Lonchura striata: one gene and its partner. The protein of the gene in region 1 purifies or fractionates together with the protein of each later gene. This does not show direct contact. Links are inferred from orthologs where the notes say so. Each region holds a gene or a part of one and is shown in the gene's direction. Other genes may lie near its edges.

The links.
Region 2: the proteins of TGFBR2 (region 1) and SMAD7 purify together in Homo sapiens (affinity purification with western blotting; 3 studies listed by BioGRID). This does not show direct contact. The link is inferred for Lonchura striata from reciprocal best matches to the Homo sapiens genes TGFBR2 and SMAD7.

The regions. Positions count from the first base shown.
Region 1 is NC_134603.1:116,137,153-116,144,763, reverse strand, and holds the start of TGFBR2 (TGF-beta receptor type-2), read left to right. Parts: upstream 1-4,306; 5' UTR 4,307-4,350; coding exon 4,351-4,444; intron 4,445-7,611. UniProt on the Homo sapiens protein: Transmembrane serine/threonine kinase forming with the TGF-beta type I serine/threonine kinase receptor, TGFBR1, the non-promiscuous receptor for the TGF-beta cytokines TGFB1, TGFB2 and TGFB3.
Region 2 is NC_134642.1:1,802,790-1,811,055, forward strand, and holds the start of SMAD7 (mothers against decapentaplegic homolog 7), read left to right. Parts: upstream 1-5,067; 5' UTR 5,068-5,152; coding exon 5,153-5,663; intron 5,664-6,572; coding exon 6,573-6,626; intron 6,627-8,266. UniProt on the Homo sapiens protein: Antagonist of signaling by TGF-beta (transforming growth factor) type 1 receptor superfamily members; has been shown to inhibit TGF-beta (Transforming growth factor) and activin signaling by associating with their receptors thus preventing SMAD2 access.

The DNA.
Region 1 (7,611 bases):
GACAATGTGTTCTTCAGCCAATGATACACAAGACATCCTTTTATCAAGGATTCTGAAAGGATAATGCTCCATGCCAAGCACCCTCATTTTGAAAATTAGCAGGCAAATGCCAGTTTTGTGAATGCAGCACTGCAGTGAACAGAGTTTTTATCATTTGAGTTTCAAATTATATAGGCTTACAAAATTTGACTTTGATTTGAACTGAAATGCCAAAATTTGTCTGGAAAATAAACTTTTTGCTTAAGTGCAGTGAAATCAAAGTGTCAGATGTTGTTCCATTGTTCTTTTTTTTATACATAACATGGTGAGAACAAAAAAAAAATTCAAACTAATAGTCTGTTTCAAAACAAAACACAATCTGTATCACAACAAAAACATCAAAATGGGGCATGTCAGTGGTTCAAGCAGATTTCCTATTTTTATTTTGAAAGTAGTTATGACACAACATGTCCAGAGTCATCAGTGTTTTTAGTTGGGTCAAGATACTTATTCCAGTTACTTCATTAATAGTTTCAGTAAGGCAATATCAGCATCCTATGTACCTGTTTGCCTTGTGTCATTCCAAAAAATCACAGGCATTAACTCCAATGGCTGCCAACAGGTAAAGCACCTTGTAGCTTACTTTATGTGATGTATACAATTCAAAGAGTATTTTCTTTAGGATTCATGTCATCTAACATCAGTTACCTAACAAATAGATGTCTGGGCTAATTACGCTCCCTCTCATCAGCTCATTAAAATATCTAGACTCCTTTCCCTCCTTGGATGACCAAGGGAATGTGGGTGACCTAATAGCCTGCTGCCACCATAATGGCAATTCTGTTAATCCAGCATTTGTCCTCCATCCTTTGGTTATTGAACCTGATCTGGGACTATCCCATCACAGTGAAACAAACAGGACTGCTCCATCAGATTGTGAGAAAGGCAATGGGTTTTCACAGCCATCTCCTGGAACTTCAGTCCAAGGCTAACTTTTAGGCAGCAAAGTAAGTTGAGATGTCTTTTCCCACACCATAAATATCAGCTCTACACAGACATGAATATTATGTCATGCTAGTGCAACTGTATAGGCCTTACTTAATTCTGCTTTCGGGAACTATCTTGTTCTTGGATTCTTACATAAAACAACACTGGAGTTAATAAACCAATCAAAATAATTGCTTTATTGTGGACATCAGCAGCTTGTGGCTGTGAGCAGAATGGTTTTGAATGGAGTGTATGTTAAGTACAGTGAAACAACAGCTTTTTAGTAACAATGCATCTTTTGTAGATGCTTGAAAGTGTTTTTCTGTGAGGATAATGCTGTAGTTCACATGGGATTTTGACAGAAATAAGATACCGAAAGCTAGAAAATACTTAGACTAACAAAGAGACATCATTTATACTTGGTAGTTTTGTGGACTGTTTTAAAAGCCATACTTAAGACGTGCAGCAAAGAGCAGTTAGCATGTTTTCACTAGGAGACCCTGAAGTACAAGAGGTTATAAATTGCTTGTGCTCTCAGTATATATTTGAAAGGCTCAGAAAGAAAACACAATATTCAGTGCTTTGATATTTTGCCTTTTTGAGTGAGGAACTGAAAGTAGCTGTCTTACCTTACCCAGTCAGGCTGGAGATTATTATTTACACCTTTAATCTCCCACTCCTTGAAGAGGACTCTTTCTCTACCTCAATCAGGCTGAGGTTAAATACTCACAGTTTCAATCAAAAAGAAACTGCTATCTGAAAACAGGGAACTGGGAGCTATGAACAAGGAAATGGAAAGAAATTACCATTACAATTGTTTCATATATTTTGGTTGTCCAGGGAGTCCTGATTAAACTGCATTTGGGTCCTAACAGGGAGGTTTGTAGTACTCAAAAAGGCAAAATATGAGTTTTCACTAATAAGCCTGTCTGGGATAAATCTGTGAAGCAAAGTTGGCTTTACTTCAACTTCCACACAGGCTACTAGTGGCAATGATACTACTCTTCCCCTGAGCATATCCAGGTAAAATTTCCTTCCACTTTCTAGTAACATCTCTCACTCTCATGGATTCTCTGAACATCCAAAGCGCAGCTGTAGCACAATCCTCACTGCACGGTGTATCTGTAAAAATAAATGTAGTACTTACATGGAAATAGCAAATTCCTGAAGTCCACTTGTACTAGACTCCTCACTTGCTGGGTAACAGGTGCCATATCACCTCATGTGAGAGAAGGGCCAGTGATGCCTGGCTGCACCCAAGGATTTGAGACTATTGGAAACCTAAGTGCAGCCCTTCCCAAAGCCTCCATCTACTGCAAGCCCCTCACCTACTGCCAGACCCTGGATGAGAGAGACTGGGCAGAATATGGCTATATTGGAGAAGAGCCATAGCACTTATGTGAGGGAGAGAGATGCAAGTGACACAGAGTCAGGCTTGCAAAGTCACACCTGATTTGTGACAGGTTTGAATAGTAATACTAAATCTGTACTTATTTGCTTTTAAACTTGTTTTTTATGTTGGAAGGTAGTCACCAAAAACTAACAGGAGAGTTCAGCACACAGAGCCAACTTTCTAAGCAAATAGCAGCTCTTTGGCACCTGCAACTTGACAGCTCTGAGGAGAGAGAAGTGTACAGCATGCAGTATATACTTGTGTGAGTTGAGAAATGCTTTTGTTTAAGTGGATACTGAAAACACAGTCACATTCTAGCACATAGCTGGTGGACAGGAACTGATAAGAACACTCCCGTCTGTGCTCAAAGGGGAGTCTGCAACTTTTCTTATCTCTGGAGGGTGGCGACCACCACCTGTTTGAGTGAATCTTGACTATATAAAAAGAGGATGAGGGAGAGGAAAATGCTCTTGGAGAGAGGTTTATGAGACTTTGTACCATAAACTGAGACTTCATGGTGAAAATATGTATTTAGGGATTGTTTAAAACTAAGTTTACATAAAAGCACAATGATTTTTTTAAAATGTCTGTTACAGGCCAATTAAATTCTTTACGCAAACATTTCCAAATTCAAGCATTTCCAAATTCAAACAGAGTAAAACAGAGATGATCTGGGACATCCAGAGCATAATTACATCTATTCCCCCTGAGGGCTTAGCCCTCTTTCTGAAATACCCAGATCTGTATCTCTAACTAGTGTTGTAACCAAGACAAAAGCGAATCACCAACGTTGGAACAATCGCCCTCAAATTATCCCCATGTGCATCAGTTTACCCTTCAATCAATGCCCAGCCATTTAACTCGGAGAGGAAGGAAGACTGTGAGCTGGAAATGGTTCTCAATACAACTGCTGGCTACGCAGTGGCTGGATTTATACTGGCAGGGAGCTCAAGCTTTATTCAGATTCAAAACTGAATGGTTCTTACAGTCTCTGACAGGGCCATGAAAAGCTGGAATCACTGGCGTGGTCCTACTTTCTGAATCATAGGTGCAATTCCCTCTTGCAGAAAAGGCAAAATATCTGGTAGAAGTTCCTTTGGAGAGGGATGGAGACGAACTTAATTTGTGTCACCTACACAGGATTGGAGATAAAGTAATGTACAACCAGCCTATTTGGAAGCAAAATAAGCAGCAGGTGACAAGTTGTTCCAGTCAGCTCCAACATCTGGAAGCTGAGTGCCCAGCTAGTCTATGTGAATATTTCCTGCTGTTACCCTGACTTCAACCTCCCCGGCTCCCTGTTTTAGTTCATCTGGGGGTTACGTCCTTCTTTCTGATACTGCTGCTGCAGCATCGTTAAGGTCAGGGATACGGATGCGAGGAGGAGCTCTGCAAAGTCCCCATGTCCTAGATGACACGTCTGGGTCCTTTTCAACTCGCAGGGAGCGAGTAGTACCCCTCCGAGCTGGTGGTTTCCTGTCGACCTTGAGCCTCCTCGCAAGCCACGGTGCAGCTCCGGGCGGGTGGCTGTGCCCGGTCCCCGCCTCGGAGGGAGGCAGGCGCAGGGATCCAGCTGCACGTCGGGGCTGGCCCCGACGCGCTTGTGGTGGGAGAGCCAGACCTGAGAGGGGCTGGCCTCTGGCAGATGATTGACACCAAGCTGGGTGAGGTTTCATGTTAAAAAGAAAAAAAAAAAAAAAAAAGAAAGAAAAAGGAAAGAAAAAAGGGCGAGAGCAGGGGAGGGGGTGACTGTGGGAAGGGGGAGAAGGAACTACTGTAAGAGTAAGAAAGTCCTGCCCAGCTGTTTGCGAAGTTTAAGATTTCCTGTTTCCCCTGCAGCGCCGAAGTGAAGTTTCAGTGAGTCACCCTCGGTCCCGAGCAGCGGAGCGGCGCGGCCCCGCTCCCCGCCAGCCCCGCCACCGCCGCCGCGGCCTCCCCGCCGCCCCCGCGCCCTGCCCGCGGCTCGCCGGCCGCGCCGATCCGGCTCCGCGATGACTCCCCGGCTGCCGAGCAGCCTGCGGCGGCTGCTGCTGCGCCTCTCCCTCTGGGCGCTGATGGGCAGCTCGGTCCCCGCTCTGCTCCGGGGTAAGTGCGCGCCGGCCCGCGCTGCCGCTTGACAGCTGCTGGGGCCGGGACAAGCGGCGAGGGACAGGCGGGAGGCGGGGGACACGGCTGCTGAGAAAGTTTTGAAGCTGGAAACATTTCGGGAGGGGGTGAGCGTGTTTGTGGATGGCCCTGCGGGAGAGTAAGCGGGGAAGAAAGGACTGGGAATCTCGGGGTTTCGCGGCCGAAGCTGAGATCCGTCCGTGGAGGGAACAGCGGGGAGAAAGGAGCGGATTTGGCAGGAAATCGGCGGGGTCTGCTCGGGCCGGAGGAGCCCGGAGAGGGCATCTGGAGCCTGCCTGCGGTGGCCGGGGAAGGGCTGCAGGCCCTGCCCGCAGCTGATGCGGCGGCTCCGCACCTGGTGGCGGCCCCGTGCGCGGGGACGGGCCGGGGGCGCGGGCCGGGAACCCGCGGCCCCTTCGCAGCGCTCCGGCCCCGGCGCCGCCGCTCCGCTGGGCACCGCTGTCCTGCACCGCCGCGGCCACGGCTGGAGGTGCCTCGGGGGGCTCTCAGAGCGTGGCCACAGAGCCCGCTGCCGTGGGTCTGCACTTGGTCACCAAAACCTGGGGTTCCTGAGTTCCTGAGAAGAGCGGAGTTTAGCCGTGCCTGTGAGCAGTTGGACTGAAAAGCACTCATTCCTCTAGCACCGACTGCGGATGTTGTTTGACTCACTTTAAAAGTGACACTTTGTAATCTTTACCCTGCTTCTAGCAAGACATCCTTAGATAGGTTTTTGGGGTCTGCGGCTTGCAGTATTCTTCCTATCATAATTTATAATATACTATGAGCTTAAAGTTCTGCTGGAAAAAACAAGATTCCTGCTCGGAGCAGCTTTCCGTCTCTGTTCTACTAGCAGTTACCCACATCTGTGAATTAACATCTGTAATATCAAGGTTAGGCCCTAAATCACGTTGCAGAACAAGTGGTGAACCTAAAAGGAGAACAGGAGATTGTAGCAAATGCATCTGAAACACTTGTGAAGAATTAAGTAGCTTTCTAAGATGTCTTGTAATGGCACATCTAGTTTTAGTCTTCAGGTAAGGTGTGCAGACACCTGGGCTTCTACAAACTTTTCCCTGGGCCCTCTGATTTTCCTGTCTGGTCCCTTCATGGTCAGTAGTTGATCCCAAATTTTGGCTGAAACATAATAACATGAAGCGGATGACTCTTCAACAGCTACTGCCTTTAGCTATGTGCAGTTCTTTGACTAACTTCATGCTTCATTAACAGCCCTGTCACAGTCAACAGGTTGTGCATACCTGCAAAGTTACTCATGAAAGCTTAGGGCAAAAGAAAAGAACAGGGTATGAATGACACTATGGTGTCCCACAGCTGTAAGTTATATTAAATTTGAGGTGTGTAGCTTCTTGTTAATTTTATATATATATATATTCTATAATTCTTCATTAACATAAACCATACGCAACTTGTGATGGCCTTTATTTTGACCACAGCCTCAAACTTTTGCAGATTCCCATCACAAAAAACTTTAATGGAGAAGCTCAGCTTTTGTTAATCTTGTGTTATTTATTATTATACTTTTTTATACTCAATCAGCTATAGACAGTCTCAAACTATGGGTAGATTTTTTAAAGTGGGCATGGCTCAAGAGTTTGCTCTTCTTTCTTGTCATAGGTTCAGTGAGGAAAAAGAACACAAACTGGTTACAGTTCCAGCATTTTTCATACTCATCTTCATCTACACCCTAAAATAAAAAAAACTGAGTAGACCTGTTTTCAGATAATCTATCCCACAGCTCCAAAAGCTGTTTTGATAAACACTGTAGGATTCGACTGTGCAATAGAATTCTATTATGACAGGAAGAGCTGATCAGAAAGCAACAGTTCTGTGGAGCAGAAAGTGTGAGGTTTGGATGTCGGTAGTTATTTGGCACCAGAATAAAAATTAGAGCTGCCAAATGCTTGGGGGAAAACAAAACAGGAAAAAAAATAGTTATTTATTTTGTAAGAATTCATCAGTGTAGTAAAGCTGGAAAAAAAAGGACATATATCAGTCTCGGAAGAGCTCAGTTCCCAGGTGTGCCTACTAACTAACCAGATGGCTGGATAAAAAAGCACTAGCTACAATTTCATTTTAACATTCTTCACAGCAAAATAGACAAGACACATTCCCATAAAGATTTTGGAGAAACCCACAAATTCATGAAGAGGTTCAATAGGAATTATGAAAAAGAAAACTGTCATGGTCTGTACTACACAGAAGTAATTGACTTTTTTGCATAGAGTAAAGGGGCAAGGTGTGATTTTTTTGGAATGATTTTGAATGATTTATTGATCATTTTATCCATTAATGTCAGTGTAGAACAGCAGTTGTCCGTGTAAGAATTTTGTGTTAGTGTGTTCAAGTGAATATGAATTTGTAGTTTGTCTTTGGGTTATTGTAACCAGAAATTTGTTCCTTGGAATCATCCATGCAATAACTGTTCGTCTCTGAACATCAGGAACTTAATTTCTCCATTCAGCCAAGCTCTATTTGCATTACTGCTATTTTTTTGAAAGCCATATCAGAGGTAGTTAATTTTATAGTATGAAAATCAAATTTAGAGCTTCAGATGTTTGCAAAAGGGAAGTAGGAGAGCAAACATCTTGTAACGGGATGGAACATGCTTGTAACAGGATTGAGTCTAAAATGCATTCCTACCCCCCAGTAAAACTGGCATTTTTCCAGGTATTTCAGGAGGGAAGTAGGGATATATTAGAGATGATATTGAAATTTCTTCTATTTATGGGGTATCCTTGAATTGTGAGACTTTTATACCTAAGACTTTGAAAAACACTTTTGTTTACTTGCTATTTTTAATATTTAATTGGCATTAACATGCTTCTTTAATACTCAGGTGGTGAATTCCATATCAGAATGGTTTCTATTAAAAAATTATGAGCCAGATCTTAAGCTGCTGCAAATGAATACAGTATCACTAGCATTAGTAGAGTTATACAGAGTTATAGCAGGTTTTCTGAAACAGTTTCAAAAGTAATTAAAAAAAAAAAAGGCCAATGGAGTAACTCAGAGTTTTCATATTAATAGTCTTTTTTAACTCATATTTTATAAACACTATTATATGGCCTATATTTAGTAAAACAACATTGCTTCAAAATTAAATATTCCTTTCTGGGATGAAATGTTAC
Region 2 (8,266 bases), on another chromosome or scaffold:
CCAGGCTGGCTCCAGAGCAGAGGGGCTCCAGCCTGGCAGCAGCTCCGTGGCCTCCTCTGGGCTGGCTCCAGCAAGCCTGTGTCCCTCTGCACATCCCAGGGGTGGGTGCTGTGAATTCCCCCTTGTACCCACATTTTTTTGCATCCTTTTCCAACAGACCAGCCTTGGAATGGCTGCCAGCAGCCAGAAGCACCTGCACTGAAATGGTGATTTTAGCTTGCAGGGCTGTGTGACAGCAGTGAGCACGGGATCCTTGTCTCCCTGTGCCACTCACCACACAGGGAGGTTGCTTGAAGAATGTTTTTCTTTGCAGACCTTGGGTTTCAGCTTTAATCTGCTCTCCTGAAATGAGCTGCTGGAGTGGAAGGAGACTGGCTACAGCCAAAACGGCTTCACAACCCAGACTTTGAGCATTGCTTGAGAGCTCTGCTCTCAAAATAATGCATAAAAATAGAAGCAGGGCCACAAGCTTAGCTATTCCTAATGTGCACAAAAGGATGGGAGAGTGCCAGGAGCCAGCCTGCGCTGCCTCTGCCCCTGCCTTCAGCCTGGCTTGTTCTCTCCTACCTCCCCTGACTGGCTTTTCACTGCTGTGAAAAGGAGAGACATACCCCCAAAAGAGCAAAGTGTGTTTGTTATTGACCCTCGCCTGGAAAGTGTATGAAGAGGGATCAGCTCTGTTTGTTTGTACCCGGTAATGATGTCAGGAAAAGGGCTTTTTTTTTTTTTTTTTTTTTTTTCCCAAGTCTGGTTTTATCCCCTTTGTTGGAAGTGCCTTTGGTGAGTCTCACACCCTGGTGCTGTTAGCAAAACAATTAGGTTAACAGTGCCTTGGCTCCAACTGTCTGTCAAAGGTTGAATTGCAATGCAAATCAACCCGGCTTTAGCTCTTCAAAGCCAGCTGGGTTCAGCAGAGGTCCCCAGAAACCCCCGTGAGAACGGAGGGCTGGGGCTGGGGAGGGTGGGCTCGCCGGGATTTTACATCCAGGACCTAATGTGTTTGGCAGGAGGGATGCAAAACGTTGTGCAAACACATTATACAAATGTAACACATTGTATAAATCCTTTCAACACTCAAAAGGGGCTTAAACCGGGAGAGACTTTTTTAGTAGGGCCTGAAGTGTCAGGACAAGGGTTGATGGTTTTAAACTAAATTAGGGGAGATTCAGACTATGTAGGAAGAAAAAAATCCTTGGCTGTGAGGGTGGGCAGGCCCTGGCACAGGGTGCCCAGAGAAGCTGTGGCTGCCCCTGGATCCCTGGAAGTGTCCCAGGCTGGGTTGGACAGGGCTGGAGCAACCCGGTCTGGTGGAAGGTGTCCCAGCCCTGACAGACGAGGTGGAACAAAATGAGCTTTAAGGTCCCTTCCAGTCTAAACAATTCTTGAATTCTATGACTCAAACATATTTTATTTCTCCTCGGGGATTAACAGTGCCCTTCATGCATTTCAGGACAGGTTTCTGGCCCAGGGTGACATTTGAGCAATGCATCCAGAGCAGGGCAGGCTGTGGGTATCACCCTGCTTTCCAAGCGTCCCCTCGGCCCAGGTCCCCTTCCCAGATTTATCGGCTTCATTATGCTTGTTTCTGTATTTTCCATATGGGCACATACATATGGTCTGTTTAAACAAGTTTTCAGGGTTAATTGGAAAGCAGTTCTTTATCAGTTATTTAATATTTAGCAATTCTGGGGCAATTTCCACTGCAGAGATCACAAAACCAGGCAAGCGCTGATGGCCCAGCTGTACCTGTGGGAAATCAGAGGTGCCAAAGCCCGGGTCCCTACTCACAGGGAAAGGCAGGTGTCCCAGGTCACCTGGAGAACCTACGGCAGGGACAAAAAATTATATTAACTCCTGGACCCCATTCCTGTCCTCCACCTCCTCACATCACACAGCATACTGTACTTTTTGTTGCTTCCTTCATGACAAAAGTAATTGTAGCTGTCAGTGATGAGGCAAGTGGAGCTGCAATGGAGAAAATTTAAAAAAGGAGATTTTAATCTCATTTATAATAGCCTGGCAAGTTTTGAAAAATTAAAAAGTATAACGTATGGATTAATGAATGTGTCCAACATGTCTTTCACCAGCAAATATTGGAATGAGAAGGAACTCTTTTTTCCCCCCTCCTGATTTTCTATATTCATCACAGGGAAAAGAAATTGAGGTTCTCTGAGGAAGTGAGGAAATCAGTTTCAGTGTATGTGAGGTCACTCCAGAGGCTGTAGGACAAAGTGTTGAACTAAAAATATTACCCAATTTCCATTTTTCAGGGTGCAGAAGGCATAATTTTAAAAGCAATGGGACTTTTTTTGCAGGTACAGACCCAAATGCTGGTGCTATTATGATTTACCCCAAGTTATCACCTAAAGACTGTAGAGCTGCGCCCTGGACTCCGCTCCCACCTTTAATTACTTGGAGGTGAAGGAAGGAGCCAAATTGCCTTCCTCAAACTCCAGCTTTGTAACAAAGCTTCCTAAATTATTCTTTCTGATGCCAGCAAATAACATTCTTTCCTCCCCAGTGTTTTTTCAACTATTTATCTGCATTTTGAGCAGATTTTGTACCTGGCTAGGTGTAGTGTTGTTAACATTTAACAAGGCTACGCCCAAATCTAGCCACTTTGTGACTAATTTAGGTGCAGATTCCTCAAATGCCAGGCCCGTTTGTGGCATCCCCGACCTGCTCATGTGAATATATGCGCAACTGGGTGCTTAAATTATCCCTGCCCTCCTGCCCACCCCAAATTTAGGGATCCAGAAGATACACCCCAGGGATGCCCTGCCTGCACGGGACGTTGGTTTTATATGTGCTCTACCCAGCGTCACATTTAGTTGGGTGCAACATTTGTTTTGGATGTCTTTGCCTTTGGATTTGAGCTCGACTTGGTTACAGCAGCCATGATTTAGGAGTCCCAGCTCCTACTTCCGACACGATAACTGCCTCGGAGAGTGACCTTAAAGCAACCCATCCGCCCGCAGTTATTCTGTGAAAAAGGAGCTGCTCCTCCGTGGGAGTGCGTGCAGGACGGGGACCCCTGGGGACTTCTGCTGCCCTGCCAAGCCTGGCGCTAGGAAGTCTGGCCGGACTTCCCAGCCCGGCCGCAGGGCGCAGCAAGGCTGGACGAGAGCGCAGCCTCTTGGTGGCTCAGCTTTCCTCACCCTCTGCCGGTCCAGAATTGGAATGGGGGAAATCTGTGGAGCGCCCAGGGTGCCAGGGGTTGTTACCGCTTAGTAGCACCCGTAACGCGAATACCGGAGTGCTACTCGCCCGTCATTGCTGCTTCGTGTTTGGAATCGGAGCGTACCGAGCCTCCATGGTGTATTTTCCTGTCCTCCTGGTGACAGGTGCTGTAGCAGCACAAATTATTATTATTATTACTATCATCATCATCATCATTATTATGACTGCTTTTTGTGATGCGCCCTCGTTCTATACCCAGAGCCATATCGATTTTTTTTTTTAAATTTTTTACGCTGATTTGGTTTAATATTCCAATGTTTACAGCGAGCACCGGCACACCCCAGTCCCGGGAGCTCCCCACGCTGTGCCCCGCGGGGTGCGGGGGGGACACCCCAGTCTCCCCGCACCCCCCACCCAGGAGCAGGTACGAAGGGAAGCATCGGGAGCGGGGCGCGGCGGCGGTGGGGTGAGCCGGGGAGGGGACGCACGGACCCACAACCTCTCCGCAACCCGAGCCGCCTCTTGCGCAAGGCGGTTGGAGATAAATATAATATATAGATATATTTATTTATTTTTTTTTTTCCCCCGGAGCGACACGGTGTCTAGACGCCCACGTGACGGGGCCGGGCCGGGCCGGGCCGGGCCGCTGCGCACTGCGAAGCCGCCGCCGGTGCGGGGGGGCCGGGCGAGGGCGCAGGCACCGCGCCGGCTCCGCTCCCGCCCCGCGCCGCCGCCGCCGGGGGAAGGCGGAGGTGCGGGGAGGGCGGCTGACTGCGGAGAGCGGAGGGGCGGGAGGGGTGGGGGGGAAAGGGGGAGGAAAAAAAAAAAAAAAACCCCACGAAAGGAGGAGGAGAAGTAGGAGGAGGAGGAGGAGGGGAAGGAAGGCAGGAAGGAGGAGTGAAGAGCAAAAAAAAGGCACCGCGGCAGAGGCGCCGGCAGCAGGGAGAGGGTCGGCGGCCGGCGGGCACCCCCGCACCCATGTAAGCTCCGCCGGGAGCGGCGGGCCCGGCTCGGCCCGGCGCGGCTGCTGGGGAAGGCAGGAAGGAAGGGACGTAGCCCCACTTTTCTCCTTTTTTATTATTTTTTTATTTTTTTATTTCCTTTCTTTCTCTTCGTAGCAGCCGGATCAAGACTCCGTGTGGATTAAACCTTTGGAAAGAAGGAGGGGAAAAAAAAATAAAAGCCCACCCCGAAACCCCCACATCAGGACGACCTGGGCTTTTTAAAAGGGATACAACACTCTGGATGCGCTCGTTCGCCTCTTTTGTGACAGATGCTTAAACCGACGTCCAAACCTTAGGGTTGGTGTTTTGGGGCTCTTTTTTTTTTTTTTTTTTTAACATTTTTTTTAATAGCCTTTTTGGCTCGCTCTTTTTGTTTTTGCCTGCTGGCTCTGCCCTGCGCCGCATCCCTGCCGCCGCGCCCGCTCCCCGGCGTGGCGGGTTGATGGGCGCCGCGGCCCCGGGGCGGCCGAGGCTCCCCCGCGGCTCGGGCCGCGCTCCGCACCCGCGCACGGCGGCGCGGCGCCGGCAGCCCCCGCCCGCCTGCCCCCGCGACGAGCGCCGCGGGCTCTAGACGGGGATTTTTTTTTTTTTTTTGGTTTTTCCTTGCTTTTTTGGGCAAAGCCGGAGCAAGCGGCGACTCTCTCCCTTCCCTTCCCCCAACCTTTATTTTACCCCTCCTTTTTTTTTTTTTTTCCTTCTCAGTTTTGAATTTTTTTTTTTTTTTCTTTTCAATTCGATTTTTCTGTAAATTTTCTCGCAGCGGGCGGAGGCGCGGCCGGCGCATCCCCCCGCGGGAGGCGGCGGGACCCGCGGCCCCAGCGCGGAGACTGGCGCATGCCACAGCCCGCCTCGGCTCCGCTGCCCCCCGCCGCTGCCCCCCGCCGCCGCCGCATCCCGCCTGCCGGCCCCTTCATGCTCGGCGGACGACATGCCCGTTTTGTAGCCGGGGGCCCCTCCTCTCGTCCCGCATGTTCAGGACCAAACGCTCGGTGCTCGTCCGGCGGCTCTGGCGGAGCCGCGCGCCCGGCGGCGAGGAGGAGGAGGAGGCGGCGGCGGGCGAGCCCGGCGCGGCGGCGGCGGTGGCCGAGCCCCGGGCGCACTTGGGCGGGGGGCGCGGGTGCTGCCCGGGCAAGGCGGGCCGCGGCGGGCGGGCGGCGGCGGGCGCGGAGGCGGAACTGAAGGCGCTGACCCACGCCGTGCTGAAGCGGCTGAAGGAGCGGCAGCTGGAGGGGCTGCTGCACGCCGTGGAGTCCCGCGGCGGGGCGCGGACCCCCTGCCTGCTGCTGCCCGCCAAGGCCGACTCTCGGCTGGGACAGCACTGGTACCCGCTGCCCGTGCTGCTCTGCAAGGTGTTCCGCTGGCCCGACCTCCGCCACTGCTCCGAAGTGAAGCGGCTATGTTGCTGTGAATCCTACGGCAAGGCTCACTCCGAGCTCGTCTGCTGCAACCCGCACCACCTCAGCCGGCTCTGCGAGCTAGGTACGGCGGTGGGGATGGCGGCGGATGCGGGGGCTGAAGGGGTTAGAGGTGTGTAGGGCTTGGAGGGATGTAGGAATATAGGGGAATAGAGGTCACACGAGGTTGTAGGGGATTCAGGGGTGCAGGGGCTGGAGGGCATGCAAGAGATGGAGGAGGTGCAGCGGCGCGGGGGCTGGAGGTGTGCAAGGGATGGACGGGATACAGGGATGTGGGGAATGGAGAGGCTGGGGTGCAGGGGATGGAGAGGATGCAGGAGTGCAGGGGCTAGGGATGATCCAGGGGCTGGAGGTATGTAGGGGTTGGAGGGCATGCAGGGGATGCATGTATGGAGGGGATACAGAAATACGTGGATCCAGCCCCACTCACCTCCCGGCCCACAAAACTTTTTTTTCCCCCTTCTGGAGGGGAAAAAAACCCCAACAAACAACAAACCAAAATCAACCCACAACAAACAACAAAACCCAGAACACGCACAAAATCTTTCAGTTGCCGTGGTTTATGCATTTCATTTTGTATTTAGGGGAGGGGGCGACGCCCCCACCTCCGGGACCCCCTCCCCTCCCGGGGGCCCCGGCGCTGCCTCCCCGCCGTCCCCGCGCGGTGCCGGGGGATTAAGGGCCGGGCGGCCCCGGCGCTGCCGCGGCTCCGCCGAGCCAAGGAGGCCCCGATCAGACAGCCCGAGCGGCAGATAGCAGGGAGACTGGCGCCAGACGGCCCCTTTTGTTTATCTGACAGCTAAATATCAAGGCAATCACCGCCTCGCTGCCCTGCCTCCAACCCCCAGAGCTAAGACAAACAGTTTTGCTAAAAGAATGCCACTGTTATCATAAGTTCCTATCTTTTTTCTTTTTTTTTTTTTTTCTTTCTCATGGCTCTGCCTTTATTTTCTCTGTACTTCTCTAATTCCAGAGTCTCCCCCTCCACCCTACTCCAGATATCCAATGGATTTTCTCAAACCAACTGGTAAGTGGATTTTTTTCAATGCAAGTGTAAGAGATAAAAAATGGCAAAATAGTTCCTTTATCGGGGAAACAGCCTCCTGCCTTTGTCATGCATTTTGCTTTTGGGTTGCTTGTGTGCCGTGCCTCCTGCTACCCCTATAACAATTAGCATATAATTTGTCTAAGCCACCTTGTGCACAAAGTAGGGGTTTAAAACTATGGCAGTAAACTTCAGAAGGGATTGCAGCACAGTGCAGGCCTGTGCTGCTTGAATCAGCCAGGAAAACCATAGGCTCCAGTTGGAAATGGCAGTGCTTCTTCACCCCTGGGTGAATTTTTAGGGATTTAGGCTGGGATCCAGCACAGCATCTCCCTGATGCCTGGGAATCCCAGTGAACCTTGACAGATGGACTGGTTGGTTAAAAATCTCTCTAAGTTTTATAGAAGCCTAATACTACATCATCTTGGAAAAAAAAAAAAAAACCGGGAAAAGAGTTTGAAATGTTGTTTTTTTAACCTTTTTAAAATTTAAATTTCTTAGCACTGCTGTGCATGCCTGTCGCTTGTAATTGAATGTCAGGGTGCCAGGGGAGAAGCCCATTTGAGGCTGGCACCAGCTCTTTTGCGGTTGTCTGCATAAACTCTTGGTTGGCAGCGAGCTCGCTGGGTGTGAGATAAATGAGGCTGGGAGAAGGAGGAGAGGTGGGGAGAGTCGGAAACGTGGGGAGCTCGGGAGGAGCAGCTCCTGGCTTCCTGAGGATTAGTGGCTCTGGAGTGGGCTGGAGCACGGTGGTCTCTGCGGTCGCGTCCCGCGGTCGTGGCAGACAGGGGAGGCACGGCACTGCAGGGTGGCAAGGGTAGATACACAGATATTTCTGAAGAAAAGCATCAGAGTGTTTGGTTGGGGTTTTTTGGCCAAAAGAACAGTGCCTGTGAAATCACCTCTCTGCAGGGTCTCAGGGCTAAAAGAAACCCCAGCCTTGAGGCTGCTCTGGTGTGGTGGTGGGGTCTCATCCTGCCAACTGCTCCCCAGAGGCTGGACTGTTGTTTTCCCCCTCAGCAAACTCTTTGGGAACACTAAGGAGTCTTTTTTTGCCTTGTGAAAATAAAGAAAGCTGTTTAACAAACAATTGGGTTGCAAAGCATGAACTATCTTGACTTGTGAAAAAACCAGGAGATAAGGGCTGGTGAATGCAAGAGGGACATCGGAAGTAGGTTCAGCATCCACAGCATGTGCTGGGATGCAGAAGTGTTGTTCTGCAATAGACTCTGAGGGTCTGCTGGGTTCTTTTTGTGGGTTTTGCATAACTGTGGCTGCATCCCTGCAGTTCTCCCCCAAAAGTTCCTATTTTTTTTGCCTTTATGGCTTTTCTCTGCACTCATTGATGATCCTGGCATGGGATGCAAAGGGGGTTTGGAGCTGGAGGAGACAAGGGTTAAAGCTTGGTTTTGCTTTCCTATAAAGATGTTAGGATAAAATCTATTTGCAGGATTTAAACATCCAATCTGCCTCTGCCAGGATCTCATTTTCAGTTAGCCGAATGATATATTTATTCATTAGCAAGTGTTGACATAAGGTAGCAAAATGTGTGTAAACAGAAAAGCCGCAGAACATGAATGTGCCATTTCGAAAGGAAAAGTTATTCCTATCGGCCAATAGGA